Drosophila melanogaster: one gene and its partners. The gene in region 2 interacts genetically with the main gene of each other region. Each region holds a gene or a part of one and is shown on either strand. Other genes may lie near its edges. The genes, in order: sisA, dpn and eag.

Region 1 (3,209 bases), on a different chromosome or scaffold from region 2:
CGCCTTGCTCCTCGATTTTCAGTACTCTTTCTAAGGGTATAGTGTTTCTTTATTGTCCGAAAATGGAAGCCCTAGTTCAACATTTGAGTATATAGAAATAAGAGTATATACATATTTCCTTGAGTCATCCAATTCAGCTAGAGTATTCCGGCCATCGGCATTCCCAACTTATTCTCAAGCTGAAAACTGTCAGGCTTCAAGTGTTCCTGCGGGGTTTGGTTTGGTTTTGGGTGGCCAATTGGGATTTGGTCGAAAATGATTATAAATGGTTTTTTAATTATACTTGTCTGCATATTTTCTCATTTGCCAAACAAACGCGGCGCTGTCGATTTTATTGTTCACATGGCAAATGGTTAATGCCGAATGGAAAATGGTAAAATGCGAAAAATGGAAAAATTATTGCCCGTCTGCCGCTGACAGCTTGCCCCCATCTGGCTGAAATGGGGGATTTCGAATTAAAACTGCTTTCGGTCACTAAAAATACTCAATTGTTTTGCCAATTACCCAGCGGAGTTATTTATGCCAGTTATGTAATTCGAGTGGCACACATGTGCAGCGTTGTAAATTGAAATACATGAAAATGGAGCAAGTGGAAAGTATATTTTGGGTACTTGCAGTGTTATAACATTTTACTGCTTTTTGTTCAACAATTAATTGGTTATTTAATTAGCATAAGTTGCTGCTTGCGTCATATTGTTCTATAATATTGCTAGTTAAATATTACATTACATCAGCCAGAGATAGCAACTATTTATGGATTTTGAGTTTGGTCCACCAAACTCTATTACATATTATTCTCAGCCAAAGGGATTTCTGGTTTAACCCTTTGAGGCCTGCTAAGCAGGTCGCTGAACCCCTCATCGTTTCGAGGGCTGTTAAATTAATTAATAGACTAAATGCGGTCGGTTCGGCTGGTTAATCCCACGACAACAAGCCGCAACTTGTTTGCCACCACGTCGAAAGTGGCTCCTTGAAATGGCTACCTGATGCGGGAAACCCACTTCCAGATGGGTTGATCCGGAATGGACAAATAGCAACTTTAGCAGGTAGCAATGGCAATCGATATTGGTGTCTCTTATCGCATAATGCCGCCTGATCCCACCCGCTTGACATGCTCGTATTTGCCCAAGCAGGTTGATTTTCCACATAGCCCAACATTTGTTGACTCATTTCGGCTGCTAGATAAGGCGCGAATCGGCAAATGGATGGTGATAGACGAACAGCCCAGCTTGACCTTGGGATTATTGTGGATTTAATGACGCCCTTATCAGTTGCATTGAATCGTATCTCTTGGCTTAGAATATCTTTTATATTATGGGGAGTATTTGCATACCGACATACATATGTATGTAGGTAGCCATTGAAGAAACCCACATATTGGTTCGCACCTGATCCTTTTGTTTTTAAATTTGACCAATTATCAGGTAGACTCAGTGCGTCTGCTACCCTAATCCCTTTGTTTACATATCTGCGATTCGTTGGCCAATCCGGATGCAGGTAGGCGGTGTCCAGCAAGGCGACAAGATTGAGGAAAACAAGATCATAAATCCCAGTGACCGCCATTCATGAAGGTAGAACCCGCGAATAACCCATCCAGTGTCCAATGGCAAGCTACCTGCGGAAATGGTATAAAACGGGGCTGACATATTGCCTAAGGCAGCATTAGCACACGAAATCTCGACGAGAGCAGTCACAGACCACGTCACACATCGAAAAAAATCACCATGGAACGGAGTCATCTTTACTTGCCCACTCTGAGCTACGCGGCCATGGGTCACGTATACGCACCGTATCGCGGAAGCAGTTCACCCGCACTATCGACAGCATCGTCAACATCATCGAAGCCGGAGCAGATCGAGGAGCTGGTGTCCCAGCAGCTGCATCATCTCAAAATGCACTACGCCGACGAGGAGCAACGCTACGTAGACCAGATGCTCCTGGAGAATCCCATTGTTGTGGAGCGCCGTGCACCGCCGCCGCTGAAAACGGAGCTTGCTATGGATTGCCGCGGATCGGGTTCCGGATCAGGTTCCGGTTCTGGTTCGGATGTCAAGGATGCCCAGCGTCAGAGGGCCGAGTCGTGCCGCAAATCCCGCTACAACAACAAGATCAAGAAGGCCAAGCTGCGCTTCCGGCACAAATTCGTCAGCGGGCAGCTGAAGAAGAGCGCCGTCATGTTGGACACGATGCGGGATGTGATTGCCCAGGCGGAGAGGCAGCTGCTCGAGCGGGGATATCCCGCCGCCACACTCGAGCGGATGCGGGCCACTTTCGGCCTGGAAATGGAGCAGTGATATCATAGTGTAGCTATGTGTCGCAGGAACGGATCCCTGACTAGTCCAGCATTAGCCATACCACTTTTTTTTTTTGTTGACTATATCTAGTATTTATCTAAGCATATTATTAAATTTTTAAATAAAATTAAGAATCATATTGAAAACGAATGCTTTCTTATTCAAATATTTGTTATAGGTTCACACGATCATATGGAGTCAAGGATAACTTGTTAATTTCACTTTACAAGAATTTCCCATAATTTGGATGCATTTATTCTGCATTTAACGCATCGGCAGTCTTGGGGTTTCCTTCGCCTGGCCGAAGGTAATCCCATCGGAATTGGGCCAATGCAATGCACCCATTTCGACTTGCTTAAGTTCAGTTCATTTGATCCGACATGATTGCACTTCGCTTTCCCCGTTTCACGTTTTTCCCCCTTTCCATTCTTTTTTTCCCTTTTTTTTTTTGGCTTGCGAACAATTTGCGTTGCCAAAAGCAGCAAATGCAATGGAAGTAATGGCCTTAAGAGCAGGTTTCTGTAAGAGATTGTGGCTAAATTTAGTGGGGCTACTACTGCAAATAGCACCCCACTTTCTGGTTGGTGTTTTCATTTAAGAACTGCGAACTGAACTTGGAAGCTTTACTAAATGCTTGCCAAGGGTATATACTATGTATATATATATACAATATAATTTTAATAACTACATATATTTTTTAAGTAATTTCTCATAATATCTTGATGTCTGCGTAATGAGAAGGATAAATATAGATACTTCTGATTGTTTTTTACCCCAAAAAGTTATTCTATTTCACGCCGTATCTTTTCAACTCTTTAGGTATCAGTTAGTCGTTACTACTGTTCACAGATATTTTTTAATAGCACAACATTAAGAATGAATGGAGGAGCAAATAATAGGAATGTAAAAACGAGA
Region 2 (5,708 bases):
TGGCACTTTTACATTTTGCCAGCTCATCGTGCTTATTTCGGGTTTCGTGGGAAAATGTTTGCCAAATTTGCGGCGTTCAAAGGAGCCAAAGTGATCGCCATTAAGCAGGGTGATGTGCTCATCAGTGCAGAATTCAGCCGAACCCCATGGTTTAGTTGCTGTGGATGTTTTAGTTGGTCAATCGTAGCCGTGGCATTTATTCAATTTACGAAAGTTGACATCGGATCAGTGCTGCAGAGCTTGTGCATGATGGATGATCGCCACAGATTATTGCTCAACACGGGATTTACGCTCAGGCCGCGAGGGATCACTTTGCACAACCAGGGTTGCCAGGCGGCGCAATACGTTTACGATCCCACCCAAAACTCCCCAAATCGGTCCATAGGTAGATCTACGTCAGCTGTCAGCTGGCGCATGGCCCGCGTCAGTGGTTATTGACAACTCCTTTGGTCGTAATCCTGCCAACATCGTAAAGTAATAAATTTGCCTGAAAAAGGAAAATCTGCCGGGGATCGACTATAAAAATTGGCCCAGCCAGGTAAGCTCCGTAATGATTGACCCCGACCCTCAGTCCCAGACCCACGACCGATCCAGGTCCGATTCCGATCCATTGCAAGTCGCGATTCCGTCCCGAAACCCAAGCAACCCCCTAAGACGCTTCTGCCGATGAGCCGACCAGGCAAAAGCGAAGAATTTGAAACTAAGGATTTCGCCTTGCAAGGGGGTTGGGTTGTCACGGGGGTTGCGGCAGCTGCGCCGAACAATTGCCAAGGAGTTCTCCTTAATGAATTGCAAATCATTCGCCGGGCATTGATCAAGTTTGTCCTTGCCAAGGGTGAAATCTGTGCGACTAAATGTGCCATCAGCCAGCCACCCAAAAGGGAAACGGACACAAACGGAACATCTGTCGCAAATAATGCTACTCACTGATAACTTATAGAAAATCTCACTTGATACATTTTTTAAGGAACTAAAGATTTTTTGCTTTGCTTTAGCAAATTTCAAGTACTAAAGAAGAATCGCTGTTAATTCTCTGAATATAGTTCATATTTTTGTTAACTATTGCTTTAATCAATTCATTAAAAGTAATAAGCAAGTAAAAAGTAAAAAAAAGTAAAGTAATAATATTCATAAGATTTATAGTAGCTTTGTATAATTATTGCTAAATATATGAATATTCTAAAACAAATAGATTGGGTATTAAGTCGGCTTCGACACGAATTAGAAGATTAAATTCAGTTATAAATTTTTGTTAAATTGTAATAAACTTTAAATTCATTAATGATATGTTATTGATTTTAATGCTTAATTTCCTTCAAAATTATTTAATATACAATGCTTGCTGTATTTTACAATAAAATCAACTAAATTTTGTGGGTTTCGTCAAGCCAAAGGCTAATGACTTGGCTTAACCGAATGTTGTGTTGTTTCTCGATCAGGCTCGACTTAGTCTCGTTTACTTGAGTTAAGCTCCTATTTTCACTAATCCCCTGGAATCCGCAATTCGTTGACTCGGCAACTCTGCCTGCCTGGGAATACCTACTCAAATACTCACTTAAATCTCACTCCGAGTGTGAACTCATTGGATTTGGGGTGGTTATGCACTCACTCACTCTCCGATTGAGCGCAACTGCGCTGCTGCGGTGAAAAGTTCTCAGTCTGCGGACGGCGATCGTTGGGCTGCCTACCTGCCTCAGCTCTGCCTCTGCCGCTGCCCGCGTCGCCAGGTAAGAGAGTCCCTCGGTTTCACTCGTGGACTCGTTTCGGCTTCGACCCGATTCGTTTTTAGCTGGTGCCCGTGGACTCGGAGGATCAGTATCCTTTTGGCATCTCGCGAGCGCGGTCGTCTGCCGCTCTCCTTTGAATGAACATTTAAAATACTATTCTATACGATTCGATAACCAGAACGATCTTTAACGCGTACCGCTTGTTAAGTTTTTGTTGTTCGGACATTACTAAGAAGTACGTGCAATAATTGTTATAACTATTTTCGTACTCGAACCAAAGTTATTGTGTTGTGAAAAAGACCAAATCGAAATCGAACTATCTTGGATTATCTCCCACTTGGATATACAAATTAAAATCGTTACAAAATGGATTACAAAAACGATATTAATTCCGACGACGATTTCGACTGCTCCAACGGCTATAGCGACAGCTATGGCTCCAATGGACGCATGTCCAATCCCAATGGATTGTCAAAAGCAGAACTTAGAAAGGTGAGTTCGCTCTTTTGCGATGAAATTGGACTCGCAAACTAAAAAATAGCAGAGTTTATTAGCACCCTCGATCGTTTTGAACCTTTTCATTTTAATGGCTTAGAAAATGTAAAGCATTAAATTAATTTTAAAAATCAAGTGAAACCCTTGTTTTATATAAACAAAGATATCCCTTAAACTGAAATAAATTCCTACGAAATAAACTAATTGATTCCCTTTCTTTTCTAGACCAACAAACCGATTATGGAGAAACGTCGCCGAGCTCGCATTAATCACTGCCTCAACGAACTGAAGTCCCTTATCCTGGAGGCGATGAAAAAAGACGTAAGTATCTTGCCCGAGCGTCAAAGCAGAAAAGGAGCGGTCCGCCCGCGAATTAGAAACTAGCCCCCGATCCCTTTTGGTTCACTTTCTTATAAATAATGTTAGTCCACAAAAAAAAACCTTTAAGGCACAAGTGTCCGAAGGGCGGCAGAACTACAAAAGAACAAAAAAATGTATAAAAAACGAACTCCTACGACACAAGAACTGAAAAAAAAAACACAAACCAAGGGCTCTAATTGAGTATTAAATTTTATTGATGATCATTACACTAGAGCGCCGACGAGGAGTCAGTCAAGAGACCAAAAAGTGTTAACAAGTCGAGGAATTACGCAGAAATCGCCGGAGATGCGAACGAAACCAGTTTCCAAGGAGTGATCCTGCTGTGAGAAACTACAAAGCAGAAATCAAGTAAAATTTGCCGCCGCAGAATTCTGCAGGAGAGCCGGACCAAAAATCAAATAAGAAAGACATTGAGGGAAAAAAGCAAAAGTAAACAAAAGGTTCAGACAGGGGAGCGGGGGAGGTTGAGGGGGCGGGGCTGGCGAGCGACCTGCGTGGGAACCTTTTGCTAAAATATGCAGTCCCAGCGGCGAGAAAGGGACGAACAATCGGGGACCGAAGACTGGCGAAGATCGCACTGCGCGAAAAAAGAAGATCAGGAAGAACGATTTGGAATCTTCTGTGCCCAAAAAGTCTTCATATGAGATCACAAACGATAAGATCGGCGAGTAGTTTATTTTAGAACCACTTACTAAAGACAGTCACTTTTCCATCATTAGTATTCACTTGCCAGAAAATTTGACTTTAAGCCCCCTTTTTGCTCAGTGCACAGTAGCAAGATCAGTCGTTCTTCTCGCTGGAGTTGCTGAATCTCACCTTGGTCGTGTGATATTTACAGAGTGGACTCGACTGAAGTGGACTGCAGATTACACGCGAATAGTTGGACATATGAGGCACGAAACGTGCTTCTTAACTTCGCTTTTTCCCAAGCTATTGAACTTGTTGTAGGGCCCCAAACAATTAGCCCGACCATCTCCCACCCCATCCCCATTTCATCATTATCTGACTTTGGTTCCTTCGTCTTCTATACTTTTAGCCGGCTCGTCATACCAAACTGGAGAAGGCCGACATACTTGAGATGACGGTGAAGCATCTGCAGTCGGTGCAGCGCCAGCAGCTCAACATGGCCATCCAATCGGATCCCAGCGTTGTCCAGAAGTTCAAGACGGGATTCGTTGAGTGCGCGGAGGAGGTGAACCGCTATGTAAGCCAAATGGATGGCATCGATACCGGTGTTCGTCAGCGGCTCAGCGCCCATCTTAACCAGTGTGCCAATAGTCTGGAGCAGATCGGTTCGATGAGCAACTTCAGCAATGGATACCGTGGTGGCTTGTTTCCCGCCACAGCTGTCACGGCTGCTCCCACTCCGCTGTTTCCCTCGTTGCCGCAGGACTTGAACAACAACAGCCGCACGGAGTCATCGGCTCCGGCCATCCAAATGGGTGGACTTCAGCTAATTCCCTCCCGCCTGCCCTCGGGAGAGTTTGCCCTCATCATGCCGAACACAGGTTCCGCTGCTCCGCCTCCGGGACCCTTTGCCTGGCCAGGATCTGCAGCGGGAGTCGCAGCTGGAACAGCCAGTGCCGCCTTGGCCAGCATTGCCAATCCCACACATCTAAATGACTATACACAGAGCTTCAGGATGAGCGCGTTCAGCAAACCGGTCAATACCTCAGTTCCGGCCAATCTTCCGGAAAACCTCATCCACACACTGCCCGGCCAAACGCAGCTGCCGGTGAAGAACAGCACAAGCCCACCGCTGAGCCCAATCTCCTCCATCTCCAGCCACTGCGAGGAGTCCCGGGCTGCCTCGCCCACCGTGGATGTGATGAGCAAGCACAGTTTCGCCGGCGTCTTCTCAACTCCGCCACCAACCAGCGCGGAGACCTCCTTCAACACCAGCGGATCCCTCAACTTGAGTGCCGGAAGCCACGACAGCAGCGGATGCTCGCGACCGCTGGCCCACTTGCAGCAACAGCAAGTGAGCTCCACCAGCGGAATCGCCAAGCGCGACAGGGAGGCGGAGGCCGAGTCCAGCGACTGCTCCCTGGACGAGCCCTCGTCCAAGAAATTCCTAGCTGGCGCCATCGAAAAGTCGAGCTCCGCTTGGAGGCCGTGGTAGATCAACCGCACAGGCCACTTCTATGTTACGTTTATACATTGTTAATTTATTTCATTGCAATTTTTTCAAAGATCACTTCAATGCTTTAGAACCCCATTAAGTTTCAACGATTTCTATATGTTTTTATGTATCCCCGTTTCGCTTTCTTCATTTTAAGTTCAGCTGTGATTTTGTATATTTTTTGTGTAGTTCTCGTTTAAGCGCTTTATACGACTATTATGTAGTTCATTAAATAATTATGTTCTTTAATGTTTCATTAACTGCTCAAGTATTTAAACAATTAAACGTGTTTCTATTTAAGTTATGTAGTTTTCATTGTATAGCGTTTATCATTAGGTCATTCACGTTTCTATATTAGTGTTTTAATTTAACGATTGTAATTTTAACTTTTAGGTAATGCAAAATTCGATGGAGTGAAAATAATGATAATAAAAAAAAAATGCTGCAAAAGAAAAATCCATCCAAATTTAATGGTTCCTTGGTTCTTAACTGATTAGAATTGGAAAATTCAAGATCGCATCAACAATCAATAGTACTTGAACTCATTGAAAAGTCGGAAGCTGAATTCAAATCAATACGGAAACAGCCTTATCATGTATGTTCGATGTTTTCGCAAAGTTTGATTGAAAAGATAACTCAATCGAAAGCTCCCAATCCATGCTATATAAGCAATAGGCGGAACACATTTAGTGTGTCAAAAACTAAATTATTGCAATCAAGAGCGCGCAGTGACTTTCAGGCGTGCATTGAAAAATCTCAGAAATTATAAAAACAATTTAATTGAAAAATTTTAATTTTACCATGCCAGGAAATCTGTTTCAAGTGTTACTAACTGTGGCGATCCTGCCAGCTATTAGTTTGGCATCTAGTTCTGAAGATGGTCTGCACCATTACCGTGCTTCTCCAAAGCTCACGGGTCCTGTGAAGCTCCTACACGATCCCGAGGACACCATTCTGAACACCTTGGATGGCGCTCTGGAGAA
Region 3 (4,971 bases), on a different chromosome or scaffold from region 2:
AATAGATGTAATTGGTGAAATATGATTTGCTTCGAAAAATAAATGAGCCAATCGAAGCAGCAAATCATTTATGAATTACCGCATTTCCGCTCAGTGTAGATAAGCGATAATGCAGTTAGTTGAAGAGCAGGGTGCGCAGGGGAAGTGCAGCAGCATCCGGAAACGGAAGCGACGGCAAGGCAACACGGATGCCAGCGGATGTCAAACATTAAACACTTGCGGAGGGTCAGGGAAAGAATAAAATATAAAAAGTGACGGGTGGCAGTTAGGCATTTAACATATTCTATGGAAATCCGCTGGCAAACCATTCAAATGCTCGTGCACAGTACGTAATGCTTTAAATTTGCAAATCTGTTTAAAGGCTTATTGGTGCCGCTTGATTGATTAGGCAGGATATTCCTAGGGCCTTTCCCTTCCACAACACTTACACTTCATTAACTTTTGGGTAATAAAAGTGGGAGCTAGGGAAAAGACACTGATAGAAATTGGAGATTCTAGATAATTTCGATATTTAACTGAATTGTATGAAAATTGTATGTAAATTAAATATTGATCATAATGAGTTTGCAAAATAAATCGCTTAGAATATATGTATATTTAATTTTATTCCGTTAAAGGCTGCATATTTTGCGTTCAGTGCACAAATAGGACTATATGTATGTGTGGCGAATCTAATTTACGATTTGTGCTATTAAATATGCGCAAAGTAAAATTGAAAATTACAAAGAACGTGAAAATGCGAAAACATGGGAAAATGGGAACAGTCGGCGCTAAAAGTCAACTGCCAAAAGTGTACAAAAGATTTATAAACAAGATATATACACATACACACTGGCCATATACATATGTGCGTGTGTGTGTGTGTGGGTATTGCTTCTTGTTCTTTTTATTTTATTTTATTTATTTTATGTTGACAGCAAATTGCGGCGCCCGTCAGCTTGGACTTTTCCTGTGCTATTCCCGTTATTCTTGTTATTTTTGTCATTTGTGTTGTTGTGGTTGCTGGTACATTTTTAATGTTTTGGCTCTTTTCATTTGGCCCACAAACACACACGCACGCTCAGGCACACACACACACACACACACTTGTAGCCACACATGCGTGACAAAATTGTTGGGCTCTTCTCGTGAATTTGGTTGTTCTTTTATTTTCTCCTGGCTGTGGGTTTTTCGCGTTTTCTTCGGCGGGCGGAAAACTTGCTCTCAAGATTTACTCGGCATTTCTGTGCTGGTGCCATTTGGCATTGTTTGCATACTTCCAGGCGCAAAAAGTGGGCCGACCCATTCAATTTTCCCCCTCTCCGTCTCGCTCTGTTTATCGCCCCCTCTCCTTTCGGCATCAAATGCTTTAAATATTTAAGTAGTTTCACCCGTTTCCTGTTGCTGTGACTCACAGTATGTGTGTGTCTGTGAGAGTATACATATGTAAGTGTGTGCGTTTGGGAGCGTTTGTAATGTTGCGCCTGTGTGGGTGTAAAGGGCATCAATATCAATCTTGTACGGATGTCAACTAACGCAGGCCACCCACATTTGCACTCTTTTTCACCTTTACATTGAAACTTTTATCACTTAAACATATACGAATCGAATATACCCTTTTGCTCTGCGAGCACCGGAAATACAATACAAATACTCCTTCAAATTCAGTTGGCAGCAAAGTTAAATTCGTATTGCATAGGCGCACTGCATATCTGAAATTCGTAAAAACTATATTTATAGCACACTTATTTGGTGTTCTGCTCAAGGACCGTTTTCTTTTTCTCACTGCAGCTAGATTAAGTTGCCACATGGGCATAAGTGCACTGATTAAATAATACAGACTTCATTTTCCCACAAAAATAAACGTATTTTGTTGTCTTTTGAACTTCTGAGCGCAATTACTGTCAAACTGTAAGCGTGTGTTGCGTTTGACACTTATGCAACCGCAAAGTGCGTTGTGTGTGCGTGTGTGTGAGTGCTTGTGTGTTGGTTGCACTTGAAAAACAAGCAATTGATGTAGTTGCTAAAACTTTTTTCGCTTTATTTGCTTGCTGACATAATTGCGCATTTCATTTTCTGTTGGCTGACACACATTCAATGACGGGGAGTAGGAAATAGCTGGAAAAACATCAAGAAATTAAGAAAACAATAAGGAACCAGCGCAAAACTGAATAAATAAATAATGAAAAAACGAAGCATGAATCGACGGAAAACCAAGAGCACGCAAATTTAACTTATTATGTTCCATTTTTCCACGACTCCGACTCCTGGCTCCCTGCTCATTTCAATTTTCTTTGCTTTTCCTTACATTTTCTTTCGGGCAAAACTTCGCCGTTCGCGCTGTCTCTTTTGCGCCGCCAGGAAAAAGTTTTAGCGCCGACAGCGACGCCGGCAGAACGACAAAAGACAACAATTACAATTAGAAGTGTGTTTATGCCGCCTTCTCGCTCACTCTTCCCCTTTCGCTAGCTTCCTTTTCTATATATTATTTCATTTTATTTTTTTCCCCATTTCTTTGCGGCAAGTAAAAGAAATTCAAGTTTATTACACAATATTTCGTCCTAGCCTTTTGTGATTACCTTTTGTTGCTTTTTGTTGTTTGTTTAGTTGCTTTTTGATTGCTTTTAAATGGTGGTTAAATATATATACATATATGTATATATATGTTTAATATATATATAAGTATGTTTATTTTTAGTGTTATTCCGCTGATTCCGATACTTTCTTTGATTCCGATTCTTCACTGGTTTTCGCTGGATTCTTCAATTCTTTTCAATTTTTCCTGCCTTCGCCGTATTTGCGATGTGATTATTCTGCAACGCGTTCTTCGCGTTTCACTTTGCACTGCAGTTGAGCAGCGTAGGTGAAGGTGGTGGTGGAGGAGGACAAGAAGAAGAAACAACAATTAACGGGACACGAAGAAGCACACAACAAACAAGAAAGAACATGAAACGAGAAACGCGTAGGATCAGCAGCGTGCAACAATTGCCGACTGCGACGCCTACTGCGACGTCGACACGTGCGCGGCGCCCCCACTTCCCCCTTCCATAAATCCCCTCTCGCCACACCACCACCCCCTCCCACCGTTTACACTGTTGTAATTTTCAAAATATTTCAGGCGAAAAAAAAATAAAAAAAAATCGTATTCGATTGGCGCACACAAAATGCTGGATTTATTTGCTGGATTTTCGAACTGGAGGACGAATCCCGGATTCTGAGGACCGCTCGACGCGAGAGTTGCGTCTTCATAGTTTTTCGCGACTACGCACCTAAAAGTCGACTACGAGTGAGTTGCGCGCTGCTAGAGCTGGGAAAACATCGATGTCGCTGCCGATTGTACCGTTACTTTCACATTGACAATCATCGATGGTGTGCAGCGTTCTACCCACCCGCTAGGTGGCGCTACTCACGTTAGTATCGATATATCAGCACGTATGGCAAAAACGGTTAAATGGCAAAGAAACACGATTCCTATCGATTTTCAAATAAATAAACTGGGCGAATTTAAAGAGCTCCATTCACTGGAAAAATGATATAGTCGTCAGAGAGAGTAGTTGGCCACGTTTTAATGATCTAATCTTTTCCATTTTTTATTCGTCACCCTTCAGTCAGTCAGTCAGTCCATTTCCCTTTGCACCAAAATTTTGTACTCATTTTTCAGGCATCTTTTGTGATTGAAAATTGATTTGTACAAACTTTAGCTGAGTTCGCCATGTATACCAAAAGGTGTCTCAGTGATGTGCTATGCTACATTGCGCACAGGTATATGGATATACCCTTACCCACCTGCAGAACATACTCCATCTGGAAGTTCCCGCCTAATTTCGATGCGAACAATCAGCGTGCAGGCAGATTGTTTTGGTTCTCCGAGCAGATATTCCCCCTCATGTTCTACTATGCTCTGGGCATTAGTATCATTGGATCGGTGCGTATATGCAAATTGCTTTATATTTCAGATGTGCATTTATTACACCTATCTCAACACAGACTCACAATTGTCTAGAATTCATAAGCATTTTGTTCAAGAAGGCGCATCTGAAGAAGTCGCATCGGCTAAGGAAGGTAAAGAATTTCAAATACAAGCAATTGCGCCGCTTTCGTATCATCGGATGCATTTTAATGTTAACGGCGTGGACAATACTGCTATACGCCTTGGCCACCGTGAGTACTAAAAATATCATATACAAAAAAAAAAAAAACGATATCTATTCAAAAACTTCTTTGAATTCCATTAATATATTGTAAACATTATTTGAATCCAGCTCAAGCCGCATTACATTGGTCCATGGTTTGTGATTTATGCCACCATTACATCCATCGATATATTATTGGTGCTGTCAGATGCCTTAGTGAACAGGACTATAGGCAACGGCTTCTTGTTCAAGACTTTGATCCCGGTTATCAACTTGTACTGTGTCCTTTCTGTGCGGTCGACTCTCAGGCAACTGATCGAATTTTACGGTTATCAGGATGTTGTTTGGTGGTCAATGGAAAGATATGCCCCATAAATTGTCAAAATAAGTGAAAATAATATTTAACTACATTTTACGTCGTACTGTATTTTTCTCATATTAACAAAATGTAATAAAAAAAATTAATTATTTAACAAAAACAGCGCCACCTGGATGTTGTGCCGAGTAATGGCAATTGACCAACAGGTAGCGCACATGTGCAACATTGTTATTAACGCTTCAATTGTTATAAAGCTTTTGGTTTTTAAGCTTTATGGATCACATTTTATCCTAAAGAACAACTTAGGCTTAGAGGAACTTAATAAATAGATCTGTTTTAAATAGGAATTGAAAGCTTCTTTTTGAGGTTAAAAAACCCATTTAATAATATGTAATGATTAATATTGGTACTAAACATGATTTTAGGAATCATGAAATATGACAAAATGTAATACTGTCACTTTCTATCTATCTATTAAATATTTGTTATAAAATAAAAATAAAAATATAGAATTAAAAAAAAAATGGCTAAATAACCATT

The links.
Region 1: of dpn (region 2) and sisA, changing one suppresses a phenotype caused by changing the other (phenotypic suppression), as found in Drosophila melanogaster (one study listed by BioGRID).
Region 3: of dpn (region 2) and eag, changing one suppresses a phenotype caused by changing the other (phenotypic suppression), as found in Drosophila melanogaster (one study listed by BioGRID).

The regions. Positions count from the first base shown.
Region 1 is NC_004354.4:11,320,806-11,324,014, reverse strand, and holds sisA (sisterless A), read left to right. Parts: upstream 1-1,657; 5' UTR 1,658-1,724; coding exon 1,725-2,294; 3' UTR 2,295-2,436; downstream 2,437-3,209. UniProt on the Drosophila melanogaster protein: Involved in sex determination and dosage compensation. Required for proper expression of Sxl in embryonic somatic cells. Also has an essential function in the yolk nuclei. Involved in endoderm migration and midgut formation.
Region 2 is NT_033778.4:8,228,434-8,234,141, reverse strand, and holds dpn (deadpan), read left to right. Parts: upstream 1-1,811; 5' UTR 1,812-2,093; coding exon 2,094-2,219; intron 2,220-2,447; coding exon 2,448-2,543; intron 2,544-2,553; exon of another isoform or gene 2,554-3,038; intron 3,039-3,076; exon of another isoform or gene 3,077-3,639; coding exon 3,640-4,725; 3' UTR 4,726-5,171; downstream 5,172-5,708. Other genes in the region: CG34217 (uncharacterized protein), read left to right, coding at 5,527-5,708. UniProt on the Drosophila melanogaster protein: Transcriptional repressor of genes that require a bHLH protein for their transcription.
Region 3 is NC_004354.4:14,953,717-14,958,687, reverse strand, and holds the start of eag (ether a go-go), read right to left. Parts: upstream 3,212-4,971; 5' UTR 3,139-3,211; intron 2,824-3,138; 5' UTR 2,559-2,823; intron 1-2,558. Other genes in the region: CG9030 (uncharacterized protein), read left to right, coding at 3,692-3,904, 3,967-4,140, 4,242-4,487. UniProt on the Drosophila melanogaster protein: Structural component of a potassium channel. Mediates the potassium permeability of membranes; potassium current is regulated by CaMKII and CASK. Has a role in growth of the perineurial glial layer of the larval peripheral nerve.